Canis lupus familiaris: one gene and its partners. The protein of the gene in region 1 interacts with the protein of each later gene in a biochemical or structural test. Links are inferred from orthologs where the notes say so. Each region holds a gene or a part of one and is shown in the gene's direction. Other genes may lie near its edges.

Region 1 (4,475 bases):
TCTAAAAAAAAAGTAACATTAAGATCAGCCTTTAACTATATATCTTTATGGGTCTACTGACCAGTTAAAACGAAGTGCTTTGTCCATCAGTTGTTAACAGAGTTTAGTGCTATGTCATATAGACCATTGTTTTTACACATCAATATAAGTGAACCCACTACAGATATCCACAATAATGTATCCATAATGTACAACTCAAAGCTAGATTGTAACAATGTAATAAGGCAAACGTGAGAAGTAAAATAATCTCTTGTCAAGTGGAGATAGTAGTGCAATGATGCTTTGAACTCAAAATACATTCTCTCCCGGTTAAAAGGCTGACATGACAGCTTTGAAATACATACTTTCAAATCCAAAGAGTGATTACGTTTTTTATTCAGTGGATTGCAAGGTCAGGGTAGCAGACAGACAATACAGGCCGCCACCATACCCAGTTCAGCCTCCCTGCCCCAGACTGGGTGGTGGTGGGTTTGGAGAATATTTCCTCTTTTCAATCAACACAGTGAGTTACAGGCAGTGAGTCTCAAACTAAGGGTTGTCTTCCCTCTCCCCCCCCCCCCCCCCCCCCCCCCCCGTCTAAAGATTATTCTTGACCCTTTTCCAAACAATGAGGAGGTAAAATGGAAGTCCACCTAAAGCCATTTCCTCCTCTTCCCCTGAAATTCTGGTTTATGCGCTTTTATTAAATAAAGCCACTTTCACCTATTTGTAAATGCTAAAATCATTTCGGATTTTAAGATTTCCCTGCTGCCTTAACTACTTCCCTTGAGAAGTTTACAGCATGAGGAGTTTGTTTGCTTTCCATGTTTTAATTTGCATTTACTCAGTAACCAAACTTCATCACCGAGAAACTTGGTGGACAAGGCGAGTACCCTTGTGTTCCACGGCAAAGAGGCCGGTCGGTGACACGGCCCGGGGTCGCAGAACCGGGCAAGAAAACCCCCACTGCGAACACATCTAAGCAAAGGGTCGACAGCGTTTGCTGCCACGACGCAAAAAGTCTGCTTTGTTGGACTGGACGTGTGTGTGCAGAGCTGGCGGCAACCCTGCACGACGCCGCCACGGGGAAGAGAGAGCGCGAGCGAGCGGGAGACTCGCTGCCCCGGGAAAAGGAAATGTGATGCAGTCTTGAGACCCAAAACCCGAAATCCCTTCTCAGCAGCGCCTCCCAAAGCCAGCCGCCGCTTTCCCTGGAAGTAGGCAGAGCGTCCCCAACCCAGGTTGGCCGCACCCCAGCTCCTTTCTCTTTCCACCGCAGCTGCACACAGACGAGCACGTGAGCGCGGCGGCGCGTCCCAGCTGTGCCTCAGCTGACCAGCTCCCGATTGGCTGAGACGGGCGTGGGCTGGGGTGGGACTGGCCGCCTGCGCCGCTCGCCATTGGCTGTCGGGGAACCCGCCTCCCCCTCAGGTGAGGCGGGCTTGCGTGAGCGCGAGCCGGGCTCCGCGGGCGGGCGCGCCCCCGACACACTCTCCTCCCCCTGCCCCCCCGCGCGCGCGCCCCCGCGCGCGCCTCCGCCCTTGCCCGCCCCCTGCCGCTGCCTCAGCTCCTCAGTGCACAGAGCCGCCTCGTCTGAGGGGACGCGAGGATCGGCCTGGTCGCCGCCGCTTGGGCCAGCGCGTCGGCTCGGGCCTTGACAAGCCGCCCGAGGGGAGGCTCTCCGGAGCCTAGAGCTGGACCCTAGCGATCGCCGCCCGCCCTTCCTGCCCGCGTTCTGCGAGGGGTTTCCCGCCTTGCACCTCCCACCTCGGGACGTGCCTCCGCTCCCCTCGTCGCGTGCGGAGGGAGCCAGCGCTTAGGCCGGAGCGAGCCTGGGGGGGCTACCGGCCGGGAAGGCTTCGCGGGGACCGATTCGCCATGGAGGGCGCCGGCGGCGCGAACGACAAGAAAAAGTAAGCCCATTTCCTCCGCCCGCCGCGTTCTCCGCAGGCGCCCGCGTCCGCCCGCCCGCCCGCCGCCGGGGGCTCGCGGGCCGGCTCGGCGTTCCGGGTGTGTGTGTGGGGGGGGGGGGGGGCGCCTTTTTGTTTCTGCCTCTTCTCCCCTCCCCTCTCTCCCCCAGCCTCGCCGGCCGGGCTCCCCCGCTGCCCACGTCGCCATCTTGTCGTGGGGGGTGGGAGACGCATCGAAAGTGCTTTCAGGGTCCGGGGGCTGAGCCCCGCTAGCCGTGGCCTCCCGGCGCCTGGGCCTCACGCCGCCGTCCTGCCGGCCCGCCTCGAACCCCCATCCGGGCGGACTTCCCCTAGCCCGGGAGCCCCGGGAGGAGAGACGAGCCGCGGCTCCGTCGCCGCCGCCGCTTGCACCCGAGCTTCCGCTCCTTCCCGCCCCCATTCTCTCCGGTTCCATTGAGAGCTCGGCCCCGGGGCGGCCCGCGCACGCCGGCCCCCGGCTTCCCAGGGGGGCCCGCGGCCCTGGGGCTCCGACCGAGGGGCTCGCCTGCTCGGACGCGGGCTCGCGTGAGGTGGACCAGCCGCGGCGGGGGGCTTGGCCTTTGTCGCCGCGGCCCGAAGATGCTAACTTTTACTTCGCACGTGCGGGTTTTGTTTTGTTTTGTTTTGTTTTGTTTTAATCGCCTTGAAAAACTCGTCCGGGCCGAGAGAGTTAACGGGAATTTGGAGAAAGGGTTTAAACATACTAAAGGAGAACCTCGGAATTGGGTACTTGGCGTTTATATCAGCTGTCAAGAGAGTTCAGACGTTATAAATTAATATGTGCCTCATTCATTCCCGAAAGCGTCTTAGTGGAAAATGTAGCGGCTGGCTGAATTTAGGCAAACAATATTAATGAGATTGGGGGGCGGTGGGGGTGGGGAAGAAATGTGTGTGACCGCAGCAAATGAAACGTAGCATCCAAATTTTTAGAACCGTCTCCCTTTCATGAAGCTGAAGTATGTTAAAGGCAGACCTAGTTATACCTGACGTAAATGATCATCCTGTTAGAACTTAATGCAAGTTTTTAATGCACCTTAAAGTTTGAGTCTGAGTGGTACATTGTAGGATAAAGGATTGTAAATGGAACCAGTGGGATCAAGAGTGATCCACCACCACCCCCTCCCCCGCCGGCACAATTTGGTACACTTTTGGTATTTTAACCTTTGTGGAAAACATTTTAAGGAATTGGAGGTTTGTAATAAAGAGTTGTGGTTAGTACCCTGGTTTGACTCCTTAAAAGTCGTTTTGCTCTTCTAGGGGAGATTAAACTTCCCCAATCAGTGTCAGCGCAAGATAGGCTTGTTTGTGTTGTTGCTATTTCGTGGGTACATTTTGGTCCTCCTTTGGTGGAATGATAAAGTCTCAGTTTGTGTACACCAGAGAAAGTTCTTATAAAATTCAAAAAGTGAGTGAACAGGACTAGACTTAATTCCAAGAGTTGACAGGAATTAATTGCAATCAATTTTGCAGAAGTGGTTACAGTGCTTTTGATGAAATGATGAGGCTGCTAGATTATAAACGTAAAGCAGATTATCTCCGTGTAGTGTCAATTTTCAGTCCTTATTATATGCTGAATCATACTTAATATTGTGCATCAAGTTATGCGCCAATCGCTTCCTTTTTTCATGTGCAATATTCTGTTCATTTCTCCTTTGCACTTCATCAGCTGGGATATCACAAGCAGCATTAATAAAAGTGAATTAATTAGTTACTGTGCATCACCCCCAATTCTAAACTCATTCTTAGATTTTGTTCAGTCCTATCTGTTACTTTCAAAATACTCTCATTTGAAAATTTAGCAAATTTGGATCAGTTTGAGTCATATTTCTTAATATAGAGGTTCTTATAAGTTAAAATTAAGTTAAACACTTAGTAAACAGCCACTCAGCTTTTAGATGGTATTTGTTAAAGGTGTCTGGTTTTTATCATTTTCTAACTAATACTTTTAAACTTTTTGAAAGAATAGCTGAGACATTAAGGAGCAAGGTATTTTCTCCTTACAGTTTTTCCATTTTAAATGTGCTCTAGAGCCCAGGTTGGGGAGACATATTTGTCTTCCTTAAAGAAGGTCTAGGAAACTCAAAAACTGAAGCATTGTAAGATATCAGAACAGAGGATGGATATGGTTATAATGAGTTTAACAGGGAATTTCACGTTGATTCCTTAGCAGTAGGTAGGGGCTGGACTTAATAGCACATTAATACCGATTTTTAGATTTCAAAGGACTGTCAAGACGTTCATTGTTCTCTTACAGGTTTCAGGCCAGACTCCTTCAGTATCCAAAACCGGTTATTGGATCATTAAAGTAAAATTTCTAAGCAAGGACATCTCTTAACATCTTTAACTTTTGGTTATTAAAAGTCAAGAAACTTTAATTTGTTAGTAAGCCTTTTTTTTTTTCTTGTTACAATTATACTTTGACTTTTCCCCCCTTTTTTTGAAGAAGAACAAGCCTGGTAGCTGAGGCATAGGATCTGGACCCAGACATCCCTTAGTAAAGAGCCCATTTCTTTCACTTGTTATCTTTGTAAGCTTGGGCAACTTACT
Region 2 (3,642 bases), about 34 Mb from region 1:
TAGGTTTCATTTTTAGGATGATTTTGTGTTTTTTTTTTCAGATTTCATTAGAGGTGTGGTGGACTCTGAAGATCTTCCTCTAAATATTTCCCGTGAGATGTTGCAGCAAAGCAAAATTTTGAAAGTTATCAGAAAAAATTTGGTCAAAAAGTGCTTGGAACTTTTCACCGAACTGGCTGAAGACAAAGAGAACTACAAAAAGTTTTACGAGCAGTTCTCGAAAAACATCAAGGTATGTGTAAACACATTTGATCCTTAGGAGTGGTTGTCCTTGTGTTTTGTCAAATTTTAAGCGATTTTTTTTTTTTCAATGCAGAGAAAATTCAAAGTTAATGTTCTCTTCTAGCTGGGAATACATGAAGATTCTCAAAATCGGAAGAAGCTGTCAGAGCTGTTACGATACTACACGTCGGCTTCTGGTGATGAGATGGTTTCTCTCAAGGATTATTGCACTAGAATGAAGGAAAACCAGAAACACATCTATTACATCACAGGTAAGAACAGGTGTACAATCAGCTTGTTCTTCCAACTTCCTAGGAGGTAAGAGTGTGTACTCTCTACACACGTGCTTTTACACGTCAGCCTGTAGGGACTAGCCTAGGCAGGACCATGTGGGCTGGGCTCCCTTGTGTGGTTAGGTCTGGCTAGACCAAGTACAAGTCTAAAGGAAATGAAACTACTTCCTATTAAAGTTCTGTAACTTTCTACCTACACCTCAGGTGAGACCAAGGACCAGGTAGCAAACTCTGCCTTTGTGGAGCGTCTTCGGAAGCATGGCCTGGAAGTGATCTATATGATCGAACCCATCGATGAGTACTGTGTCCAACAGCTTAAGGAATTTGAGGGGAAGACATTGGTGTCAGTCACCAAAGAGGGTTTGGAACTTCCAGAAGACGAAGAAGAGAAGAAGAAACAGGAGGAGAAAAAAACAAAGTTTGAAAATCTGTGCAAGATCATGAAGGACATCTTGGAGAAAAAAGTAGAAAAGGTGTGTGAGAACAGTGCTTCAGTGTGCCTGGGTCTCCTGCTGGTGGGTGTTCTGTGGAGTGCCCGTGGGGGTTTCCCAAGCTTCTCCATAGGTTTTTCTTAATTTCTATACAAATAGAAAATCAGGTTTTTCTACTTTGAGAAAACTCTACAGTTTTGTTAAGGTCTGGGAAGAGTTAGGATGTGGAGGAAGAAAGTTCTTAAGTTTGTAGGTGGTGTTTCTTGATTCGTGAATACAGTACTTGGAGTCCTTAGGTTTCATTTTAATAAAGCGGATAGAGGTACTGAAAAATGAGAAGTTAGGGCAGCAGAATCTTCCCAGGTCCATTTCTCACCTCATGCTTTGGTTACAGGTGGTCGTGTCAAACCGATTGGTGACCTCCCCGTGCTGCATTGTCACAAGCACATATGGCTGGACGGCAAATATGGAGAGAATCATGAAGGCCCAAGCCTTAAGAGACAACTCCACCATGGGTTACATGGCAGCAAAGAAACACCTGGAGATAAACCCTGACCACTCCATCATCGAGACCTTACGGCAGAAGGCAGAGGCCGACAAGAACGACAAGTCTGTGAAAGATCTGGTCATCCTGCTCTATGAAACCGCTCTCCTGTCCTCCGGCTTCAGTCTGGAAGATCCCCAGACACATGCTAACAGGATCTACAGGATGATCAAGCTTGGGCTCGGTAAGCTTCCCATGATACAGTGGTGTGTGACCTTTGGCTCCTGAAACAATTCTGGGGGGGTGTCAGATCCGGTTTGGGTGACCTCTTAAAGTTTTCTCCTAAGGATGTTACAGGGCTTTTTGATCAGAAAGGCTAAAAAATGAAAGTGGTTTTCACTCCCAGGGAATTGCTCACTCTTTGAAGTTAGGTATAGACCCGCTGTTAGGCTCATTAATTAGCTGGCTTCGAGAAATCCAATGAGAGGGCTTTGTGTCCAAACAGGTATCGACGAAGATGACCCCACAGCTGACGATAGCAGTGCTGCGGTGAGTGAGGAGATGCCGCCCCTCGAAGGTGATGACGACACGTCACGCATGGAAGAAGTCGATTAAGTGCTGCCCTGAGAATTACTTGTATATGTATTCAATACTTTATCTTCATTCCCTCTGATAATATATTTTCAAGGATGTTTTTCTTTATTTTTGTTAACATTTTAAGAATCTGTAAGGCATGACAATATAGCTACTTAAGGGGAAGATAAGATTTCTTTTTGTTTGAGTGTGATACTGTGACGTGTAGGAACTAAAGCTCGGCTAGTTTTTCTTTCCTAGTCCCATGCTGGCTTATTTTAACCGGACAAGGTAACCTATGTTGTAAGGTGTACGTAACCTAATGTTAGCCGTGTGGTCTCAAGTGTGGATTCCGTAGTAAGACCAAGTGTTTTTTTGTCACTGAGGTGTTCTGAGCTGTACCTTGATGTGTAAAAGAAGAAATACTGGTTAAAACAACTTTCACCTTCTAGGATCTACTTTTTAAATCTTCTGTCCCTTGTAGTTCTCAACTGCATGTACCAGGCCTCTAGAAACTAATAGTGAAACTGAACCAACTGGATGGGAGTAGCCATGGATAGGGCTTGTTTTCCAAAGAAGAGCGTTGTTTAGAGTAGCGAGATTCTAAGCCTCTTTAGGCGTGTTGTAAAGCTGTTCAAGAAGTAACTCCACAAGTTTTGTGAGTGAAAATGTGTAGTGCTCAAGTCACATTCTGCTTTAAGAGGTTGTAACAAATACAAACAAATTAAAAAAAGTTCTGTGAAAATGTTTTGTTTTGGGGGGGGGGAAGTGGGCATTCTAGATGACAGGGCAGCCACAGGATGTAAAAACTTTAGTGTTGGCATGTGTTAGGGATGAGGGAGGTGGCGGACGTTGACACCTTGAAGTCTTATTAGCGACCTTGCGGTGTGCGCTCCAGTGACAGCCGCGGGGTGGTGAGCATACTGGGGAGCGTCCCACAACGTGCATCCTGTGTCCTGTGTTCCAGTTTCTCATGGATAATTATTTTCTTCCTAGGGTTTTCATGTCCAAGCTGCTTTTTTTGTAGTATTTGTAAAATCTGCTTTATGTCCTAAATATAGTTCCTTAATACCTCAGCCTCCTGAATATCTTGAGTTCTTTACCAAATCTCCTTACTGCCATCCCACCTGAAATCCTTACTCCCTGGTTCTTTACTGAGTCTCAGGTGAGCTCTGTGGAGGGGTGGCTGAGACTCCTGTGAGCAGCAGGTGCTGAGGTGGGGGGAGCTTGAGCTCAGGTGTGTTTTTGTTTTTTTTTTTTTTCTTTAAAGATTTTATTTAGTCATGAGAGACAGACACAGAGGGAGAAGCAGGCTCTATGCAGAGAGCCTGACATGGGACTTGATCTGGAACTCCAGGATCAGGCCCTGGGCTGACAGCAGGCGCCAAACTGCTGAGCCTCCCAGGCTGCCCCTTGAGCTCAGGTTTTAAGAACCAACCAGCTTGGGGCAGGGGCAGCAATGGCCAATCCGAAAATAACATGTTCCTGGAAAGTGGGTAGTAGCAGGTGACTTGGAGGCTAAGGTCCCATATAAGCCATGACCGTGTTAACCTGGGGGAGCGGGCTGGGAGAGAACTTGGGAGCCTTGTGTCCTGGGGGGCGAGGCTGGTTCCCTGGCGCTCTGCAGGCCCTGAGTGCC
Region 3 (4,307 bases), on another chromosome or scaffold:
TTGTCACCATGGTGACTAAAGAAGCACAGCCAGGTTCTCCTTCCAGCTTTGCTGTCAGCTCTGCTTGAAGGAGGAGACCGCCCCCTGGGAGAGCCCAGGCTCAGAGTCATGAAAAACCATGTGTCAGGTAATGGGGGACAGCAATCCACAGTGCTGCCTTTAGAAATCTGTCCTGTGCCTCTTAGTCTCCAGGCACAGGGGTAATCAGGAACCCCAAAGGGAGGCCACTGCAGTCCCCTACAATTTTTTTTTATATAATAAATTCACTTGGGCTTCACCACATAGTTGTGTCTCCTACATTCTAAGACCTGCTGTGATTGGTTTGCCAAGCTACTTTTCAGAATGATAGAGGCACCCTCTCTGAAATTTCATTTCCTCAGTTTCTCTACCTCCAGAATTCAGCACTTTTTTCAGCTTCCATTTTCGGTTTTCTTTCACTCAGATTCTCTTAAGACTCTTCCCTGCCCCTCTCCCATTTATGTCCTTATTGTATTTCTACCCCCAACATGACTTCGTGGTTGAAGAACCAGCCCAAATCTTGAGATTTCTTTTTAAAAACTCCCCATTACACTCACCCCAACTACTTCAGAAAGGGGGTACTCTTAGAATTACTTGTTCTGTTTGCCTGTAAAACTTATTTTTCACCCCTTTAGCAATACTTTTAGTAACTGTTTCCAGTTAGCAACTTAGAGAGTGGGGGGCACCTGGGTGGCTCAGACAGTTAGTTGTCCGACTCTTGATCTCAGGGTCATGAATTCAAGCCCTACGTTGGGTTCTCATGTAAGCTGAGAGCTTACTTTAAAAAAAAGAGAAAAAATAATTTAGAGAATTAGGAAATACCTCTAGAGGAAGCCTTACTTACTTGTGGGTTAACATAATCAGCCTCACTTTTTTTTTTTTTTTTTCTTTTCAAGGGGGAGAGAGTGGGAGGGAGAGGGAGAAAATCTCAAGCAGGCTCCATACCCAATACAGAGTTCAATTACAACTCTGAGGTCATGACCTGAGCCGTAATCAGGAGTGGGCCATTTAATCCATTGAGCCACCCAGATGCCCCAATCAGTTTCACTTTTACCAGTTTTTTACATATTGAGATTGTTTTTCAAATGTCAGTATGGGGTAAGCTATGATAAAGTCATTCTGGCCACAGGAAGGGACAGGAATGAGGTGTAAAAGAAGTCTGTTAGGTTCACAGATCAGAGAACCACTGCATGCGTATCGGGTCACAGAAGAAAGCACCAGGCAGAAGGGGAAGGGCAAGCCAATTTAGGCCAGAGCCTTTACTAAAGTTTCTGAGGGAAACCATGAAGGCAGGGCAGAGTATAAACAGTTTAGGATTGGCTAGTTTGAATGAATCCATAGGGCTTTGGCCTACAGGAGTGGTCTCTACTTGCCTACTACTACCTGACCAAGGGATGAATTAAAATGGAGGAATATTGCTTTTTGGGGTGTACAGGTAAGATAGAGGAGATGTGACCTTGGACTAGTTAGTTTGCATTCTGTTGGACAAGTTGTTCCCTTTAGGAATTACCAGCCATGGGAGGGGCAGTCTCTCCCTGGGTCTGTAAAGCTTGAAATGGAAAAACATCAAGAACACAAAAATAAGAAAATACGGTTAACATAATTGGCCCTGAAATGAAGGAATGTAAAGAGACAAATACAGAATCTTAAAAAAAAAAAAAAAAGATTTAGAACAGGGATTCTTTGTCAGATTTAATTGGAGGAAGTGTGCTGCAATTTAAATTTTTGTGAGGGGCAGCCCCGGTGGCCCAGCGGTTTGGCGCCGCCTTCAGCCTGGGGTATGATCCTGGAGACCTGGGATTGAGTCCCACGTCAGGCTTCCGGCATAGAGCCTGCTTCTCCCTCTGCCTGTGTTGTGTCTCTGCCTCTGTGTGTGTGTGTGTGTGTGTCTGTCATGAATAAGTAAATAAAATCTTTAAAAATAATAATAATAAAATTTTTGTATGGTAAATATATCAGAATTCACCATTTTTAAATGCCTAGTTAAGTAGCATTTATTATATTACATTGTTGTGCAACCACCACCACTATCCATTTCCCAACTTTCATCACCCCAAACAGAAACTGTGTACCCATTAAGCAATAACTCTCTATTTTTTCCTCCCTGTAGCACCTGATAACCTTTAATCTACTTTCTGTCTCTGAGTTTGATTACTCTAGGTACCTCATAAATGTGGAGTCATACACTTGTCCTTTTGTGTCTAGCTTATTTCACTTATAATGCTATCTTCAGGGTTCATCTATGTGTCAGACCTTCATTCCTTTTTATGACTGAATAATAATCCATTGTATGTATATGCTCCATTTTGTTTATCCATTCAACTTATGACTATTGTGAATAATACCACATTGAATATTGGCATATAGTATCTGAGTCTTGTTTTCAGTTCTTTTTTAAATATACCAAAGTCATGAATTTACATTCCCACCAGCAATGCACTAGATACCCATTTCTCCACATTCCTGAGAACACTTGGTATTTTTTCTGTTTTTATTGTGGTCGTTCTAGTAGATATGAAATCATATCTCATTGTAGTTTTGATTTGCATTTCCCTTAAGGTTAATTATGTTGAGCATCTTTTTTTTAATATTTTATTTATTTATTAGAGAGAATATAAGCGGGGGGGGGGGGTAGAGGGAGAGAGAGAATCCAAGCAGACTCCTTGCTGAACTGTGGAGCCACAGACCCTGATCATGACCTAAGCCCAAATCAAGAGCTGGTTACTTAACTGACTGAGCCACCCAGGCGCCCCTGTTGAGCATCTTTTCATGTGCATATTGGCATTTACATATCTTCTTTAGTGAGCAGTGCACAAATCATTTGCCCATTTTTATTTTTTTTTTATTTTTTTATTTATTTATTTATTTTTTTTTAATTTTTATTTATTTATGATAGTCACACAGAGAGAGAGAGAGGCAGAGACACAGGCAGAGGGAGAAGCAGGCTCCATGCACCGGGAGCCCGACGTGGGATTCGATCCCGGGTCTCCAGGATCACGCCCTGGGCCAAAGGCAGGCGCCAAACCGCTGCGCCACCCAGGGATCCCCATTTGCCCATTTTTAAATTGGGTTGTCTGTCTTTTTGTTGGGTTGTGGAAATTTTTTTTTTAGATATTTTATTTGAGAGAGAGTGTGAGGGAGAGAGAGCATGAATGGGAGGAGGGGAAATTCTTTATATATTCTTGATATTAAATCCTTATCAAACATGATTTGGAAACAGTTTTTCTCATGCTACAAGTTTTCTTTTCACTTTCTGTTAATATCTTTTATTGCTTCTGCTTTTGATGTCATAGGTAAAAGAATCCATTGCCAAATGAAAAGTCATAAAAAACTTTCTCGGTGTATTATTCTAAGCATTTTATGGTCTTGGCTTGCATTTAGGTTGTTGATCCATTTTGAGTTAATTTTTGTACATGGTGTAAGCTAGGGGTCCATCATCTGGAAATCTAGTTGTCCCCACACTATGTTTTGTTTTGTTTTTCTTTGTTTTTATTTTTGTTTTTTTTCCCCCACACTGTTTTGAAGAGACTATTCTTACTCCATTGAATGAACATGACACCTTTATTAAAATTTGGCTCACCATAGATGTGTGAATTTATTTCTACACTCTGAATTTTATTCCATTGATATGTAAACATCCTTATGCCAGTACTACGCTATTCTGATTACTATAGCTTTGTAGTAAGTTCTAAACTCAAGAAGTGGGGATCCCTGGGTGGCGCAGCGGTTTGGCGCCTGCCTTTGGCCCAGGGCGCGATCCTGGAGACCCGGGATCGAATCCCACATCGGGCTCCCGGTGCATGGAGCCTGCTTCTCCCTCGGCCTATATCTCTGCCTCTCTCTCTCTCTCTCTCTGTGACTATCATAAATAAATAAAAATTGAAAAAAAAATATTTTAAACTCAAGAAGTATGAGTCCTCCATCTATTAAGAGTATGAGGACGCCTGGATGGCTTAGCAGTTGAGTGTCTGCCTTTGGCTCAGGTCATGATCCCAGGTTCCAGGGATTGAGGCCCACATCAGGCACCCTATAGAGAGCCTGCTTCTCCCTCTGCCTGTGTCTCTGCCTCTCTCTGTGTTTCTCATGAATAAAATAAATAAAATATTTTTTAAAAGTAAGAGTATGTTGTTAGGTTCCACATATTTGTGAATTTCTTGTTTCATTGCATATGGTCAAAGATACTTGGATTTTGATCTTTTAGAATTCATTGAGACTCTGTGGCCTACATGGTCTGTCCTGGAGAGAGCATTCCATGTATACCTGAGAAAGGTATATTCTGTTGTTGGGTG
Region 4 (4,312 bases), about 24 Mb from region 1:
CCTTGAGGCTGGCCAAGTCTTTACTCCAGTTGGTGCAGCTCCTCTTGAAAAGTCATGCTAACAGTGCCAGCTAATCACCATCCTGGCAGAGAACCTCCTCTCAGTAAAACAGAAGTTTCACCACAGGTTTCTTACTGACTGCTCCCTCTTGAACATCCCCCAGGTTCTTTCTCCACCAAGGGTCCCTGAGTGCTTCTTTCCATCATGTAGCAGCAGCGCCTTTCCTATTCTACTCTTTATTCTTGGCTTGGATTTCATTCGTCTCTTCCTTTCATATCTCTCCCTTAGCATGCAGAGCGGAGAGGGCTTTTGGAAGGAGAATAAAAGTGAAAAAGCTGTGGAGGGTTGTGTACAAAATACATGATACCTGTAAAACTTGTTCATTCCTTTGTTCAACTGAAATGAAGAACCTGAACGCAATGTAATGTAAAATTTAAAATATGGAAATGACTTTGCATGCAATTTAGGAATCTTTTCCCCCTGATTCTAATCTCTGGTGTTTGGTAGGAAAGGGAATGAAAAACCCATAAAGCAATCAGCTTACCTTTGAATAACTAAAAAAGTCTTTTAGGTGGTGTCCATCCCTCCTGAGTAAAGTGTAGTTTCTTGGAGAAAAGGTGAGATTGGAGACTAGAATTTAGTGTGTCTTTTGGGGGGTATACTTATATGGCTGTTACATGAGCATGTGATTAATTCTGAAGGCAGAGGTTCAGAACATCCTATTTTAATAAGAAGCTTGAAAGAGAAGTGGATGAAAACATGCAGCGAAGCAAAATACAGCATTTTCAGGGTTCAATCAGATAATATCCAGCATTTCTTCATTGTACACATCTCCTCCTCCTCTCTCCCGTCCCCCCCCCCCCCCCCCAGGGAGAGGACACAGGGCTTTGGGGGGTGGGGGTGGGGACACGAGGGTTAGGGGAATGTTTAATTTTCGTTTAAACTGGATTTATCCCACTCTCTGAGTGGCTTGAGTCTCCTGACCTGGGTCAAACAGCAGATGAAAGAGGAATAAGGCAAGGCACCAGGTAAAGCTAGACCTGGATCACTGTTCAACACACGTATCTGTTTCTGAGTTTGTTATTCTGTTCAAGAGGTGACCAGCCCAGACCGTGGCAGTAAACTGTGCTAATTTCATTTACATTTTCAGAGTTGGGATCCTTCAAGTTTGTTATGGGCTTTTATGCAAAACATATGCAAATCGGTAGCATTCTAAAAATTCCGTATGTTTTCCAGTCCTTTAGTCACAAACAACCGAGGCTGGCGCCGGGCAGCAGTAGTCGGGGAGTGGGCGCCGGGCCGGGGGCGGGGCGGGGGCCGGGGGCGGGGCCGGGGGGCGGGGCGGAGCCGCGGCCTGGGGCGGGCCGGGGCCGGGGCGGGGCCGGGGCGGGGCCGGGGCGGGGCCGGGGCGGGGCCGGGGGCGGGGCCCGTGACGCGCCGAGTCGGCCGGCTCCGGGGCTGGACCTCCGCCTCTCCCCGCCTGGGGCCGCCGCGGCACCAGTGGCGGCTCCGCATCTCCAAAAGGGGCCCGCCGACTCCTCGCTGGGCCAGTCCGGCGCTAGGTCGTGGATCCCCGCGCAGCTCCCACCGGTCTCGGAAGGGGAAGGGATCCCGCCTCCCAGAGTTTCGAACAACTTTCCCCTCTCCCTGGCGCGGCGGTGGCTCGGGGACCGTGGCCGCCGCAGGTAGCTGAACCCCGGGCCGCGCTCCCCGCGCCTCGGCTGCGCGCGCGCAGGTCGCTCCGGGTCTCGGTGCACGCTGGGGATCCCCGAGCTTGGCTCTGAGGGCGAGATGCCCCTGGGACACATCATGAGGCTGGATCTGGAGAAAATCGCCCTGGAGTACATCGTGCCCTGTCTGCACGAGGTCGGCTTCTGCTACCTGGACAACTTCCTCGGCGAGGTGGTGGGCGACTGCGTCCTGGAACGCGTCAAGCAGCTGCACTGCAACGGGGCCCTGCGGGACGGCCAGTTGGCGGGGCCGCGCGCCGGCGTCTCTAAGCGGCACCTGCGGGGCGACCAGATCACGTGGATCGGGGGCAACGAGGAGGGCTGCGAGGCCATCAGCTTCCTCCTGTCGCTCATCGACAGGCTCGTCCTGTACTGCGGGAGCCGGCTGGGCAAATACTACGTCAAGGAAAGGTCCAAGGTAGGACGCGCGGGCTCCCCGCCGCCGCCGCCGCCGCCGTAGCGCCCGGGGACTGGGGACCTTCGGAGCCCGTGTCTGTTGCCTTCGCTGGGCTGCGAGTGAACTTTAGCTTTTAACCGACGAGCAAGAAGTCAGTCCGGGTCCCCCTCCCCCACCCCGCCTCCCAGCGAAAATCCGTGCTGAGGGACTCAGGTGTATGATTACCATGACCTTCTGTTAACTGAAACAGTGGGTCTCGTGGGTGGTACACACCGGGCAAGCTGCGGTTTTCTGGGCTGGTTTTAATCCGTGGAGGTTCCCAAAGGTCCAGATGAGGGACAGGTTATTGGAAACATTGCGTATGATGGGAGACACGTGCGAAGTCATGATATTAGATGTGTCCACTTTAAAAGTCCCCTAATACTGTACCTCATCTGTGTTCAGAGGGTATTCCTCTTAAAGAATTCTGGAGACAGTTGTGATGTTTTTCAGGGTGACATTTGGTGTGTGGAGTTTGGCAGATGTGACCAAGTTTGACCTGAGAGAGAGTAAAGCTGGTCTGCACTTTTGAGTGCTGCCCTTGGCTTGGTGCTGCCCTTGGCTTGTTGCACACTACTAGACGGGCTCCCTGGCTGAGCAAAATCTGTCCTGCTGCTGAGCCCTACGCCACCACCTTCCCTTTCCGAACTATCCATTGGTGGAGAAATCTACCCAAAACAACCAGTTAAGTGATGGGGAGAGTGTAGTCAGGTACCTCTGGAAAGAAACCCTGTTTTTGTTCACCACAGCCAGAAGTGACTCCCTGGGTGGTAATTTATCTTGGAAACGTTTCCAGGTAGATTGGCAGAAATATGGGAGCCGTGGTACCACGATGTTGGTCTGTGTATGTTACTTTGGGATAGTCCAGCTACTCAGCCTTTTCTACAAATGCTAACCCGGCCATTCTCCAGTGGCAGTTCCGAGTGATTTGCACTTTTATTGCAGACTGGTCAAGGTGCACCCAGAGCCGTAGAAAACTTTAGCACAGGAGGAGGCAGGGCATGCTAGCATGAGAAGAAAGGTGCACCAATCTTTAACAATATCTATACCATTTCTCAGTTTAGATCGACCCTTTGATAAAACATACCTTTATTGTCTCATTTGCCTCATAGACCGAGGGGATACTTTTAGTAAAGGGCAAGTGAAAGACTGAAAATGGGTAGAAAGGACCCATTGGAGTGGGGGAACAGAGTAGAGGAGAAACACACGACTATATGCCTTTCAAAGCCAGGAGGACATGAATAGAATGTCTGAAAGCACTTGTTAATCAGACGCAAATAAAGTAAATCTTGGGAGAAAATGCTGCTTTCTAAGTTTTATTTTGATTTGGGGAAAACTCAGCTGCCTGGACTCTGTACAAGATTGACATGGAAGTGTTTTACTCTTTTATCATTTTAGTGATTAGAAAGCCATTTGTCTTGGTTAGTTTTGTTTTTGCACTGAATGACCTTGCCTCCTGGGGCTGGAATGGGGGGCGGGGGGGGGGGGGGAGGGCTAGCCTCAGTGTTACAGAAGTGCTTGTTGCCTCAGTCTGGAAGAGCAGATGGCTTCTTATCAGTTTTGCAAGTTTCATTGCAACTCAGGTGCTAAGAATTTTACCCCCAACGTTCTAGGAACGTAATTTGCTCAGAGGGAGGTCAGGATTAATTGGTAGAAAGTCGTCACTAACAAATTTGAAAGTTAAGTATTTGTATTTAGCTTTGACTATAAATTGACTCCACAGACTGGAGGAGAAACACTGTATGTCTGGGTAAGGAAAAAGATCTCTAGATAAGATTCTTCAGTTATAGATTATCTTCTGGGTAGAACAAATAGCTTCTCAATTAACCCTTTCAGAAGGTGACTGAATTGAAAGGAGAAAAGTCATCTCTTGTCCATACCTAGATTTCTGGCTTTTCTTGAGCTGTTTTGGCACAAAGCTTTTCATTCCTGTCCTTTAGAAAAATCACCTCTAGGTTGGGCTATTCCGTGGCCAACTGGAACCAGCTGTAAACCAGACTTGAGCCAACAATTATTAAGAGTCGAAGATAAAAAGTTTGATTTGTTTGTATAAAGAATTCTCCCTCGCTTTGTGGCCTTGGGTCTTAATAAAGCATGGTAGAAATGCAGTGCATTTCTGTGTGATTTATATTAGTTTCACGTTAAT
Region 5 (2,353 bases), on another chromosome or scaffold:
GGAGAAAGGAGAGTGTGGTGCTATGGAAACCTAAGCACGTCCAGGCAGGTAGAGTCATCGGCAAGAGCAGTGGAGGGATGCAGAGCCCTGGGGTATCCTGGTGGATGAGGGCAAGCCCACTTGAGGACATGGGAGTCTCTGTGTGCCTGGCGCAGAACAGAGAAAACCTGGCAGGGAAGTGATGTGGTGGAAGCTGCTCGAAGGGGAGGCTGGGGGTGGAGGACCCCCAGAGACAGCTTCAGCTTCAGTTTGCTGGGGGTGAAGAGGGACCGCCAGGAAAGGCATTCAGGGAGGGGTCCTGATCTGGATATAGAGTCTCTGGTGGCCAACAGTTGTGGGGTCTCGGGGCTGGCCAGCTCTCCTAGGCCATCAAGTCCAACACCCTTCCAGTGGCAGGGTACCCGAGTGTGTGCATCCACCCTCCACTGCAGGCTTGGCCCCTAAGGTCCTCAGAGCAGGGGTCACAGGGCCTGGCAGTGACTGTCAGGAACCAGAGGTCCCAGCTCCCGTCCTCCTCCATTCCAGTGGCTAGGCCCAGGAGTCAGCCTTGGTTGCTCAGTGAGTGACAGGGAACAGGGCATGGAGGGAAGGGAACAGCTAATTCAGGGCTTGGGCTCACAGCAAACCACAGAAACAGATGTGTGGGAGCCAGCTTAGGGACACAGGACAGTGGGAACCCCCAGAGGGTGCAAGGCGCTGGGTGCTACTTGCTGCCTACTGCTGGCGAGCGCAAAGGGCAGGCCGCGTCGGAATGGGCTTGCTGTCTCCGTCGGGGAAGACAGACGTGCCGCCGCACTAGCGCAGGATGCCAGAAGACTGAGGAGACTTGAAACTCTGATTTGGGTCGTTCTTTTCTGCTCCTCCTGCCCCCAGGATCAGCGAAGTGGAGCCCAAGTACTACGCCGATGGGGAAGACGCGTACGCAATGAAGCGGGACCTCACCCAGATGGCTGACGAGGTGAGTGTCCCTTGGGGTGCCTGAGGCTGTCGGAGGCCCTCAGAGGCTGTGCTGCCCAGTCGGCGCCCCTTCCCCTCACGTTCTCAGCTGCCAGGCAGGGAGCAGGCCATGGCCGGGCTGGAAAGGAGGTATCACCCCAATGTTCCCTTCTCTGCCAAAGCCTGTCCTGTCTGAGGCGTGATGGCAGAGGAGAGGGAGGAGGCTCTTGGAAGCGCCCAGAACTTGGTCCCCTGGTCTCAGGGGTGAGACTCGGCTGGGCAGAGGAGAAAGTCAGGGTCCTGCCCCAGGCTCGTCAGGGGCCAGGGCCGTTCTGAGGGCTTGGTGGCAGCCCGTGTGAGGGAGGCATGTGCACGCTCACTCAGAGGAGATTGCAGGGCCCAAGAGGTCTCCTGCCCCAGGCCTGCCGCCCTTCATCCCCGGTGTGGGGGGCGGCGGAGGGCCTGCGTGCTCAGGAGACTTAGGTCCCGTCTCCCCTTCCGTCCCCCCGGGCTCCTGGCGGCAGCTGCGAAGGCATCTGGAGCTGAAGGACAAAGGCAGACACGTGGTGCTGGGCGCCATCGAGAACAAGGTGGAGGGCAGGGGCAGCTCGCTTCCGAGCTCTGGAGACGCCTGTCGTGACGAGAGAGGCCTGGCTGCTGACGATAGCGGGGGCGACAGCAAGGATCTCAGCGAGGTCAGCGAGACCACAGAGAGCACCGACGTCAAGGACAGCTCAGAGGCCTCTGACTCTGCCTCCTAGAGCCCGCACTTGCTCCTCACCCCACCCTGGCCTGCCCATCCTGTGCTCGCCCCTCGAGGTTTCCCAATAAACTTCCCCCAGTGGCCTTGGGGAGTGTGTGTGTGCGAGTATGCACATGGGGGGCGGGCAGGGGGCCACCTCTCTCCAGCCACTCTGTGTCCCTGTGGTTATGGACATCACAGCCTTTCAGCACCGCATGCCCTCCAGAGCCAAGTAGAGGGGATTTGGAGGTGGGGCTCCCATGTCTGATGGCTTTCGGCACCTTTGGGCCCGGGAGAGGGACACCCTGGAGTTCTGGAGGCTGGTCCCTGCCGGGAGGCAGATGCTCTGCTGCTGCCTTGCTGGGCTCCTGATGCCTAGAGTCCAGCTGCTCACTGGGCTTATCTGGTGCCGTCCTGTCTTGTCATGGCCCAAGCAGCCACCCAGTTGCTCAAGTCCTGGCAGCTGTCCTTGATTCCTCCCTCCCCTGCCATCCAGAAGATCGGGAAGTCTGGTGTGTTCGACTACCGTAATACCCATGGAATCTGCCCCCTAACCTAAGCCTTCATTTGGAAATAGTTGATAAACTTTATTTTTAGTACAGCCTTAGGTTTACAGAACTGAGCCATTGGATAGTTCCCTGGAACCTCCCTCCGGCCTCCTTCACCATCCCTGAG
Region 6 (3,713 bases), on another chromosome or scaffold:
GGGTCTGTCTCAGCAACCCTTTCCTGCCAATGTAGTGTGAACGCAGCCGCAGACCATTGAAGGAAGTGAGCAGGTGCGGCTGCGCTCCAGGAAAAGCCCAGCTGCAAAACGGGGGCGGCACAGACTGTGCGCAGCCACAGCACCCCCGTCCTCCCCGGCTGGCTCAGGTATTCAGAGCACGTTTCTTTTTTTTCACTTCTTACCCTCCTTTCCCCGCAAAATGTACCTTGTTGCTGCCTGCAAAGCGTGCTTGCATACGCATCTGTCTTGAACACATCTGTCACCTCTTTCTGTAAAATACACATACTTTTATTCTCTTGGAAAAGTATTGGAAAATGTCCACAAATCCTGAGCATTTGCTGTGACTCCGGCTCAGGGGCGGGTTCAAGGGTGGGTGGGGATGGGGGTGGGGGTGAACCAAACAGCATTTCCGTTCTCTAGGACTTCTTCATCTACTTGAAGAAATCACATAAACATAGCACACGACAACAGTTATTCGAAAGGAAATGCAATGTCACAAGATTAGAATCAGAAAATTGCTAAATTAGCCATCCGGGCATCACTTGTGGCTTTTAACAGCTGCATTCAGTGCAGCGGGGAGAGCGTGGAGACCCAGCAGCTTGGTTTACACCTCGGGCCATATAAGGTGATCGGTCGGTGTGGAGGCTCCTCATGGGATCAGGCTTGACACTCTAGGTTCGTGTACAGCACCACCACTTTCCATCCGGTGTTTTTTTTTTTTTGTTTTTTTTTTAAGATTTTATTTATGTTCATGAGAGACACAGAGAGGGAGGCAGAGATGCAGCAGAGGGAGAAGCAGAAGCAGGCTTCCTGCAGGGAGCCCAGTGCAGGACTCGATCCCAGGATCCCGGGGTCCAACCTGAGCCAAAGGCAGATGCTCAACCACTGAGCCACCCAGGTGTCCCTCATCCTGTGCTCATTAACTGGCTGCAGGGCTGTGTCCCACTCCGTTGGGACTGGTCTGAGCTAGGCCAGCTTGCTCTTTCTGCTTTGCCTACTGAGACATGGAGTGACAGATCCTTTTCCCACCTAACGTTCATTACCTCCCTGCTGGACAAATAAACCTCGAGTATGCACAGAGACTGTTCTGGGAGCAAGGTGTACAGCAGTGAACCCCCAAAAATACACAATCCCTGCCCACTCCCAAACAGTCCCATTTGGAGGCCAGCCTCTGAGAGCCACAGTGATGCCACAGTCACAAAACTAGGTGGTGGCAGGTTCTTGACGAGGGGCGCTGGGAGTGCAGGCCTGTCATGTCGTCAGCTCTGCTCTTTGCCGTCTTCTTGCCCCTTGTGCCAGGTACCCGCAAGATGGAGTACAAAGACAGCAGCTGGCACGAGACCTGCTTCACCTGCCACCGCTGCCAGCAGCCCATCGGTACCAAGAGCTTCATCCCTAAGGACAACCAGAACTTCTGTGTGCCCTGCTATGAGAAACAGTACGCCTTGCAGTGTGTTCAGTGTAAAAAGGTAGCTCTCACCTCCCCCGGGACCTCGTGTATTCCAGTCTGTTTGCCTTGGCTGTCAGCCCCCTTTCCCCGGGGACAACACCCTTGGTACTGGGATGGCACAAGAGTCTCACCTGTCCGGCCCCGCATCCCAAAATTCTCATGTGCACGTGTGCATTTTATCCACTGGAAGGACCCCCATCCCAGGCCTTCTTTTGACCGCACAAGGGCCACTGGGACCTGAGATGGGAGCCTGTAGCCCTCCCTCCTAGAGCACTGCCGAGTTTTTGCTCCTATTCATGACATGACGTTAAAGGGGAGGAAAACTTACTATCCCAGAGCTCCTGTTACACTGTCCTCCATCAGTAGACAAGAAACGAGCTGCTGAACCTCGTGGGAGGGAGGGATGTGAGAAGCAAAGGAAAGTTGTGGCTGGGACAGGGGACAGGTCACTCGTTGCACCCAGCCCGCTCATCTCGTGCCGTGCTGTCACGGCCATTAGTCAAAGGCAGAAAAGGAGCGCCACGCCTGCCGTCCTTTGCCCTGGCAGGGCCTGCTGGGGAGCGATCGCAGAGCCTGTTTGGCTCCGGCCTGTTCACTGACGCGGCTGTTGGGCCTCCGTCTGCGGAAGAGCCCGGCTGCTGTTCCCTCTGCTGGTCGGCCTGACCTCGAATGCCCGACCTGCTGGCGCCTTTCCAAAGGGCAGAGTATTGCTCACTCGCCTTCATGCTCTCTCGTCTCCCTCGGCCTCGTGTCCGTCTCATTTTTTAAACTACGATTTTAAATTCCACATCTTCCAACTTCTACTCGTAAGATTATATTACTTTTCTGCTGTTTTTCGCTTCCTCCTTAGATGAATCGCTCCTTCCTGTGTTTATGTCAGGAAGCCTCTTTCTTCTCTGCTCACTCCCTTTTTGTTTGGTTTGCTCTTTCTCATCAAGATCCACGGAAAGTTCACGTCATTTGCTTTTCTTGCATTATCTTCCTCCCAACCTTATTGCTACTGTGTTCGGTGGCAGAAGTGAAGGTAATGCATCCTCCGGGAAGCACAGCCCTGTGGGTGTTCATCAGGACTGGTGGAAGCATTCACACCAGTAACATCCACCCTCCCGCAGCGCAGGAGGTGCTCGGGGCTACTAGGGCCTGGGGGGAAACACACTTCGGTGGCAAACGTTCAAGTGCTTATCGACAAGCGTGCTTTGGAGGAAAACAGTCGTAACAGAGCGTACACAGGGGCCAGCTGAACCAGTCGGAGGAGTGGGAGCCAAGCTGGTGTTTAGGGAGGGCTGCTCTGGGACAGTGACACCCACGAGCATGTCTGAGCCAGCTGGGCCATGCGGGGTGCGGGTGGGCATGTGGGTGCAGAGAGGACAAGAGTGTGGATTCCACGTAGAGCAAACCTCTTACTACACCCACCTTCTCTGTCCACACAGACACCTTGCCACTGAATGTATTTTGCATAAATTCTGTTCCAAGGCGGGAATTTATAGGAAGATCATTAATACATTATAGTTTAATGAAAAGAATATACGGTGCTCACTTCGGCAGCACATATACTAAAATTGGAACAACACAGAGAAGATTAGCGTGGCTCCCGCACAAGGATGACAGGCAAATTTGTGAAGCTGTTCCGTATTTTTTATGTTGGCAAATTGAATTTAAATTCTAAAAAAATTAAAAATAAATAAATAAAAAGAAAAGAATATATGATAGACTCCTGAATCCAAGTACCTGCTTTGTCTTTAGCTAGCAAATTCTCAGGCAAGTCCCTTAATTTCTCTGGGTCTCAGTTTACTCACTTGTAAAATGGATATAATGTCTGTAGTATGTAAGGGCCTTTATATAGTTGACCTTTGAACAACACAGAGTTGAAAGGGACCAACCCCCCTGCACAGTTGAAAAACCACATAGAACTTTTGAGTCCCTAAAAACTTACCTAGTAGCCTGCTGGTGACCAGAAGCCTTCCCGGTGGCATAAATAATCGATGCACACAGCTGTTGTATGTTATACGTATCCTAAACTGTATTCCTACAATAAAGTAAGTAGAGCAAAAAAAAAAAATATTCAGAAAGTTACAAGAAAAAAAGCATTGACAGTATGGTACTGGGTTAATTGAAAGAAGCCCATGTACAAGTGGACCTGCGCGGTTCAAACCTATGTTGTTCGAGGGCCAGAGCTGTGCTTTCTGTAAGGACTAGAGGCAGCGCTGGATGCTAGGGCGGGTGACAGACGGGTCTATCGAGC
Region 7 (4,401 bases), on another chromosome or scaffold:
CAGCTCCCCGCCATTGCGAGTACGTGTTATTTATTGCCTGGAGGCCTGTCCAGTCCCCACTCCACCCCCATAAAGCATTGTTTACACCTGTGTCTTGGCCTCTGTTATTTTGGGGTGATGGGGAGGGAGGGGAGATGGAAGAGTTCCCTGATGGAAGAACCATGTGTCATGGTGTTTGGGGGCCATGTTTTTGGATTGGATATGGTGTGGGGGTACACCATGACTCCAGTGGTCTTGTGGAGGGAATTTTTAACTGCACATGTTGTGACCAGGCATGCTGGAAGTCCACCTGTGGGGCGCTGATGTCCTGTGTTTGTGACCTGTATGATGGTACCTGTAGGAATATGTGCTGATTGTGTGTGATACTGTTGCCTGTGACTACTTTGTGTCTTTAGTGATTGTAACCATGAGGCTGGTGTTGTTTGGGACCAAGGCCAGGGAATGAAAATTAAGGCCAGGAGATAGTACCCATGCATGTTTGATGCTAGAAAGTCCCAGGCCGTGTCTGACTGTTGTGTGTGTGACACTGTGTGTATGCCCCTGAGGTCTGTGTGTGTCTTGTGTGAATTTGGCACCCTTGACACGCCTGCGTGTGACCATGAACCCTGAGTATGCTCCCGAAGACTCTGTGGGCCTTTGTGCAACTTGCGCATATTTGAGACTTGTGCATACTTGATACTGGTGTATATCTCTTGTGTCCTGGTGAACTGACATACTTGCAAGTACTCTGCCAGGGACAGGTGCAGCCCCCCCCTCAGGACACTTCCAGCTTCTCTGCCATCCCCAAGTCAGCACCAACCCACTCACAAGGTAGGCCTGACCCCAGAGCCTGCTGCCTCTTCCCCGCACCCCCGCTCCGCCCTGGCGATGGTGGAGGGGGCAGGGCATTTAGATAACCTCATCTGCATAGTCCTTCCAGGCTAGGTCACCTAAGATGTTCCGAGACCCGAGGCTGTCAGACAAATGTCCTGTCTGCGAACTCTGAGTAGCTTTCCTAGGTTGCTTTATTTAGATTCTCACAATTGTCCCGACAGGGCAGGGTGGAGCTGGTCTTACTGTGGCACATCCCTTCCAGTCTTCCTCCCTTAGGGACCTTCCACGGTTTCTTTCCCTCCTTTATAAAAAGTACTTAAGTAAATGACTAATGTGCACGTTTCTATACGTTTCTCTACCAAATGCGCAGACATTTTTTTTTTTTTTTTGACATTTCTCTATCACAGTCCTATTCTGGGGCTGGGAGAAGGCGGGACTGCCCATGTAAATAATATTATTTGCATGTCACTTTCCACCGCTCGGTGCTCCGAGGGGTGGGCCGGCCCATGCAAATAACGCTATTTGCATGCCCCTCCCACGTCGTTTGGCCTAACCGTTGAACTCCCTCAGGCCTTCCCGCTCCTCGCCCGTAAGGGGCGGAGCGCAGCACGCAAATGAGCCTCCCGTTGGCGACCGACCCATTTCCCCTCTCTCGGGGGGCGGGGGGGGTTGTCCTGCGCTACCTTGCTCCGCCCCGCGCGGCTCGCGCCTGCGCACGCGCGGTGTCCTCCGCGGGCGCGGTCACGTGCCCACCGGGCGAGGCGGGGGCGGAGCGTCGCGGGAGGTGGGGGCGGGGTATGGCGCGCTGTGCGGCGCTGGGCGGCTGGCACAAACGGCGGCGCCGAGGCCGGAGGAAAAAGCTCGGTGAGGAGAGCTCGGGGAGGGAAGGGAGCGGGGAGCGAAGGGAGCGAAGAATGCTCTCGGGGCGGGGCGCCGGCGCGAGCCGGGCTGGGTGTGGGGACGCGCGGCGGCCCGGCGTGGCGGAGCGCGGCGAGCCGGGGGAGGGAGGGAGGGAGGGGGGAGGGCGTGGGGGAGGGAGCGCGCCCGGCTCGCTGAGTGCCGGCCGTTGGAGCGTAGGGGTGGGGGCGGAGGGCGCGTGCCGGCGGACGGGAGGGGGGGAGGGGAGCGGGCGCGGGGGCCCAGCGGTCCCCCGGCCCGGCCGCGATCGCCTCCAGCGCCCCGAGCGGGGAGGCCCGCACCGAAGGCGGCTGGGAAGGGGGCTGGGAGGGGCCGCCTTCCCCCGTCCTGTCCCCGAGTGCGTGAACCCTCCCCCGCCCTCCCCCCGCGTCGCCGTGGACCCTCCTCCCGCGGCTGCCTTCCGTCTGTCTGTCTGTCTTAGGCCCTCCCTTCCGTCTGGGTGTGTGTGAGCCGCCGGCAGGCTTCCTCTCGTTGGGCTCAGGTTGACCCCTCCGCCCCGTTCTGTCCCGCTGTCTCAGGCCCGCCCTCCCAGCTTCTCCCCGGTCGGCTTTTCCGCTTCTGGGCCCCCCATTCTCTTTGTCTCTGGACTCCCCGGTTTGCTGTGTGTGTGGAGCCCCCCGTTCCCGCCGTGCGTGTCTGGAATCCCCAGGCCGATCTCCTGCTCCCCACTGCTCCCCCACTGCTCCAGCATTCTTTTTCTACTTTAGGTCTTCTCTGTCCTTTCTGTTTTTCTCTCTCTCTCTTCTCAGGATGCTCTCCCGCAGCCCCCACCACAGTTCTGTGTCTCTGGGTCATCTCCCCAGCCTCACTCCTCTCTCCGTGATTGTCACCCCCCTCCCCAATTCCCATGGTTTTCTCTCACAATGTGGCCTCGGGTTTGGGGTGTCTGTGTAGCCAAGTCTGCCTTCCTCTCTATTGCCCCTGCTACCCTTCACCTCTACCCCAGCTGGAGTGCCTCTAGCTCTTCTCACATTCCTTTTTCTCTTTTGCCCTTCAGCCACCCTGACGGGTCCTTTCCCAAGCCCCTAGGGGCAGCAGAGGACTTGGGGACCAGCAAGCACCCTCAGGGCCCGAGAAGAGCCTCTGCTGCCTGCCCTGCCTCACCCTGTCCTACGCCAGGCTCAGCTGCCCCGGCCCCCGGCTGCATCAAGTGGAGGAGGCGGAGGCGGAGGAGGGTGGCACCATGGGCCCGGGCCGTGCCCTCCATGCCCGGGGGATGAAGACACTGCTGCCATGGACAGCCCGTGCCAGCCACAGCCCTTGAGTCAGGCTCTTCCTCAGTTGCCGGGTTCTGTGTCAGAGCCCTTGGAGCCTGGCCGGGCCAGGATGGGGGTGGAGAGTTACCTGCCCTGTCCACTGCTACCCTCCTACCACCGCCCAGGAGCACCTGGTGAGGCCTCGGCGGGGAGTGGGACCCCCAGGGCCACAGCCACCTCCACAACAGCCAGCCCCCTGCGGGAGGGCTTCGGCGGGCAGGATGGTGGCGAGCTGCGCCCGCTGCAGAGTGAGGGCGCTGCAGCACTGGTCACCAAGGGGTGCCAGCGACTGGCCGCCCAGGGTGCCCGGCCTGAGGCCCCCAAACGGAAGTGGGCAGAGGATGGTGGGGATGCCCCAGCACCCAGCAAGCGGTCCTGGGCCAGGCAGGAGAACCGGGAGGCAGAAGCCGAAGGGGAGGGCGGCATGGGCTGCAGCAGTGGCAATGGAGAGGCCAGCGTGGGGCCGCGGGAGGAGGTGCTGCCCGCCGCACCAGAGCGCCTGGCCTTGGACTATATTGTGCCCTGCATGCGGTACTATGGCATCTGTGTCAAGGACAGCTTCTTGGGGGCGGCATTGGGTGGCTGCGTGCTGGCTGAGGTGGAGGCCCTGAAGCGGAGCGGGCGCCTGCGTGACGGGCAGCTGGTGAGCCAGCGGGCTATCCCGCCACGCAGCATTCGTGGGGACCAGATTGCCTGGGTGGAAGGCCATGAGCCGGGCTGCCGAAGCATTGGGGTCCTCATGGCCCATGTGGATGCTGTGATTCGCCACTGCGCTGGGCGCCTAGGTGGCTATGTCATCAACGGGCGCACCAAGGTAAGACTTGGAGGGCCTTGTGTGGAGGGGGGCCCCCCAGTACTTGTTTGTTGGAGACCTGGTGCTTTGAGCATCAGTGCCCTTGAAGATAGGCTTCTGGGGTCACAAAAGGATTTAGGCAGCTCTAGTGGAGTGAATGTTGGTGTTGGAGTTTGATTTGGGCTCTCCCTCCCTGGGAGGATTTTGGGGGTTGTGCACTTATTCTTTCTCCTATCCCCTATCTTTTCATCCATCCCTCTCTCATCTCTCCTTTCAGTCGTTTCTGGTCTGTCCTCTGGTCTGTCTGTTCTGTCTCCCAGGAGGAGTGGGGAGGGTGGCGGTGGTGAGGCCAGTGCCAGGCTGAGGGAGGAGGTGCTGCCTGCTGCACTTGTGCTGGACTACATTGTACCCCATGTGCCGTACTGTGGCATCTGTGGCAAGGACAGCTTCCCGAGGGTGGCACTGGCTGCCTGTATGCTGGCCTAGGGGAGGAGGGAGGGTCCTGTCTTCCATCTTTCTTATGCTTCCCATCCTAATGCTTGTCTTGTATCCTTCCCATCTTGTCTATCCGTCACTTTATTATTTTTGGTTCTGATTTGTTCTCTTGATTTTTTGTTTTTT

Evidence for each region.
Region 2: the proteins of HIF1A (region 1) and HSP90AA1 form a complex in vitro, tested with the Homo sapiens proteins (4 studies listed by BioGRID and IntAct, with this or other methods). The link is inferred for Canis lupus familiaris from reciprocal best matches to the Homo sapiens genes HIF1A and HSP90AA1.
Region 3: the proteins of HIF1A (region 1) and KPNA6 form a complex in vitro, tested with the Homo sapiens proteins (2 studies listed by BioGRID). The link is inferred for Canis lupus familiaris from reciprocal best matches to the Homo sapiens genes HIF1A and KPNA6.
Region 4: the proteins of HIF1A (region 1) and EGLN3 form a complex in vitro, tested with the Homo sapiens proteins (5 studies listed by BioGRID, with this or other methods). The link is inferred for Canis lupus familiaris from reciprocal best matches to the Homo sapiens genes HIF1A and EGLN3.
Region 5: the proteins of HIF1A (region 1) and NAA10 form a complex in vitro, tested with the Homo sapiens proteins (4 studies listed by BioGRID and IntAct, with this or other methods). The link is inferred for Canis lupus familiaris from reciprocal best matches to the Homo sapiens genes HIF1A and NAA10.
Region 6: the proteins of HIF1A (region 1) and FHL2 form a complex in vitro, tested with the Homo sapiens proteins (2 studies listed by BioGRID). The link is inferred for Canis lupus familiaris from reciprocal best matches to the Homo sapiens genes HIF1A and FHL2.
Region 7: the proteins of HIF1A (region 1) and EGLN2 form a complex in vitro, tested with the Homo sapiens proteins (3 studies listed by BioGRID, with this or other methods). The link is inferred for Canis lupus familiaris from reciprocal best matches to the Homo sapiens genes HIF1A and EGLN2.

What each region holds. Positions count from the first base shown.
Region 1 is NC_049229.1:36,895,073-36,899,547, forward strand, and holds the start of HIF1A (hypoxia-inducible factor 1-alpha), read left to right. Parts: upstream 1-1,567; 5' UTR 1,568-1,857; coding exon 1,858-1,892; intron 1,893-4,475.
Region 2 is NC_049229.1:70,497,866-70,501,507, reverse strand, and holds the end of HSP90AA1 (heat shock protein HSP 90-alpha), read left to right. Parts: intron 1-41; coding exon 42-232; intron 233-346; coding exon 347-494; intron 495-719; coding exon 720-988; intron 989-1,340; coding exon 1,341-1,674; intron 1,675-1,935; coding exon 1,936-2,045; 3' UTR 2,046-3,079; downstream 3,080-3,642. UniProt on the Homo sapiens protein: Molecular chaperone that promotes the maturation, structural maintenance and proper regulation of specific target proteins involved for instance in cell cycle control and signal transduction.
Region 3 is NC_049223.1:68,448,580-68,452,886, reverse strand, and holds the start of KPNA6 (importin subunit alpha-7), read left to right. Parts: upstream 1-1,331; 5' UTR 1,332-1,422; coding exon 1,423-1,453; intron 1,454-4,307. UniProt on the Homo sapiens protein: Functions in nuclear protein import as an adapter protein for nuclear receptor KPNB1. Binds specifically and directly to substrates containing either a simple or bipartite NLS motif.
Region 4 is NC_049229.1:13,056,840-13,061,151, reverse strand, and holds the start of EGLN3 (prolyl hydroxylase EGLN3), read left to right. Parts: upstream 1-1,455; 5' UTR 1,456-1,791; coding exon 1,792-2,148; intron 2,149-4,312. UniProt on the Homo sapiens protein: Prolyl hydroxylase that mediates hydroxylation of proline residues in target proteins, such as PKM, TELO2, ATF4 and HIF1A. Target proteins are preferentially recognized via a LXXLAP motif.
Region 5 is NC_049260.1:122,964,385-122,966,737, reverse strand, and holds the end of NAA10 (N-alpha-acetyltransferase 10), read left to right. Parts: intron 1-873; coding exon 874-958; intron 959-1,460; coding exon 1,461-1,697; 3' UTR 1,698-1,788; downstream 1,789-2,353. UniProt on the Homo sapiens protein: Catalytic subunit of N-terminal acetyltransferase complexes which display alpha (N-terminal) acetyltransferase activity. Acetylates amino termini that are devoid of initiator methionine.
Region 6 is NC_049231.1:39,109,701-39,113,413, forward strand, and holds part of FHL2 (four and a half LIM domains protein 2), read left to right. Parts: intron 1-1,320; coding exon 1,321-1,490; intron 1,491-3,000; exon of another isoform or gene 3,001-3,108; intron 3,109-3,404; exon of another isoform or gene 3,405-3,497; intron 3,498-3,713. UniProt on the Homo sapiens protein: May function as a molecular transmitter linking various signaling pathways to transcriptional regulation. Negatively regulates the transcriptional repressor E4F1 and may function in cell growth.
Region 7 is NC_049222.1:113,782,953-113,787,353, reverse strand, and holds the start of EGLN2 (prolyl hydroxylase EGLN2), read left to right. Parts: upstream 1-1,559; 5' UTR 1,560-1,677; intron 1,678-1,928; exon of another isoform or gene 1,929-2,212; intron 2,213-2,728; 5' UTR 2,729-2,964; coding exon 2,965-3,801; intron 3,802-4,401. UniProt on the Homo sapiens protein: Prolyl hydroxylase that mediates hydroxylation of proline residues in target proteins, such as ATF4, IKBKB, CEP192 and HIF1A. Target proteins are preferentially recognized via a LXXLAP motif.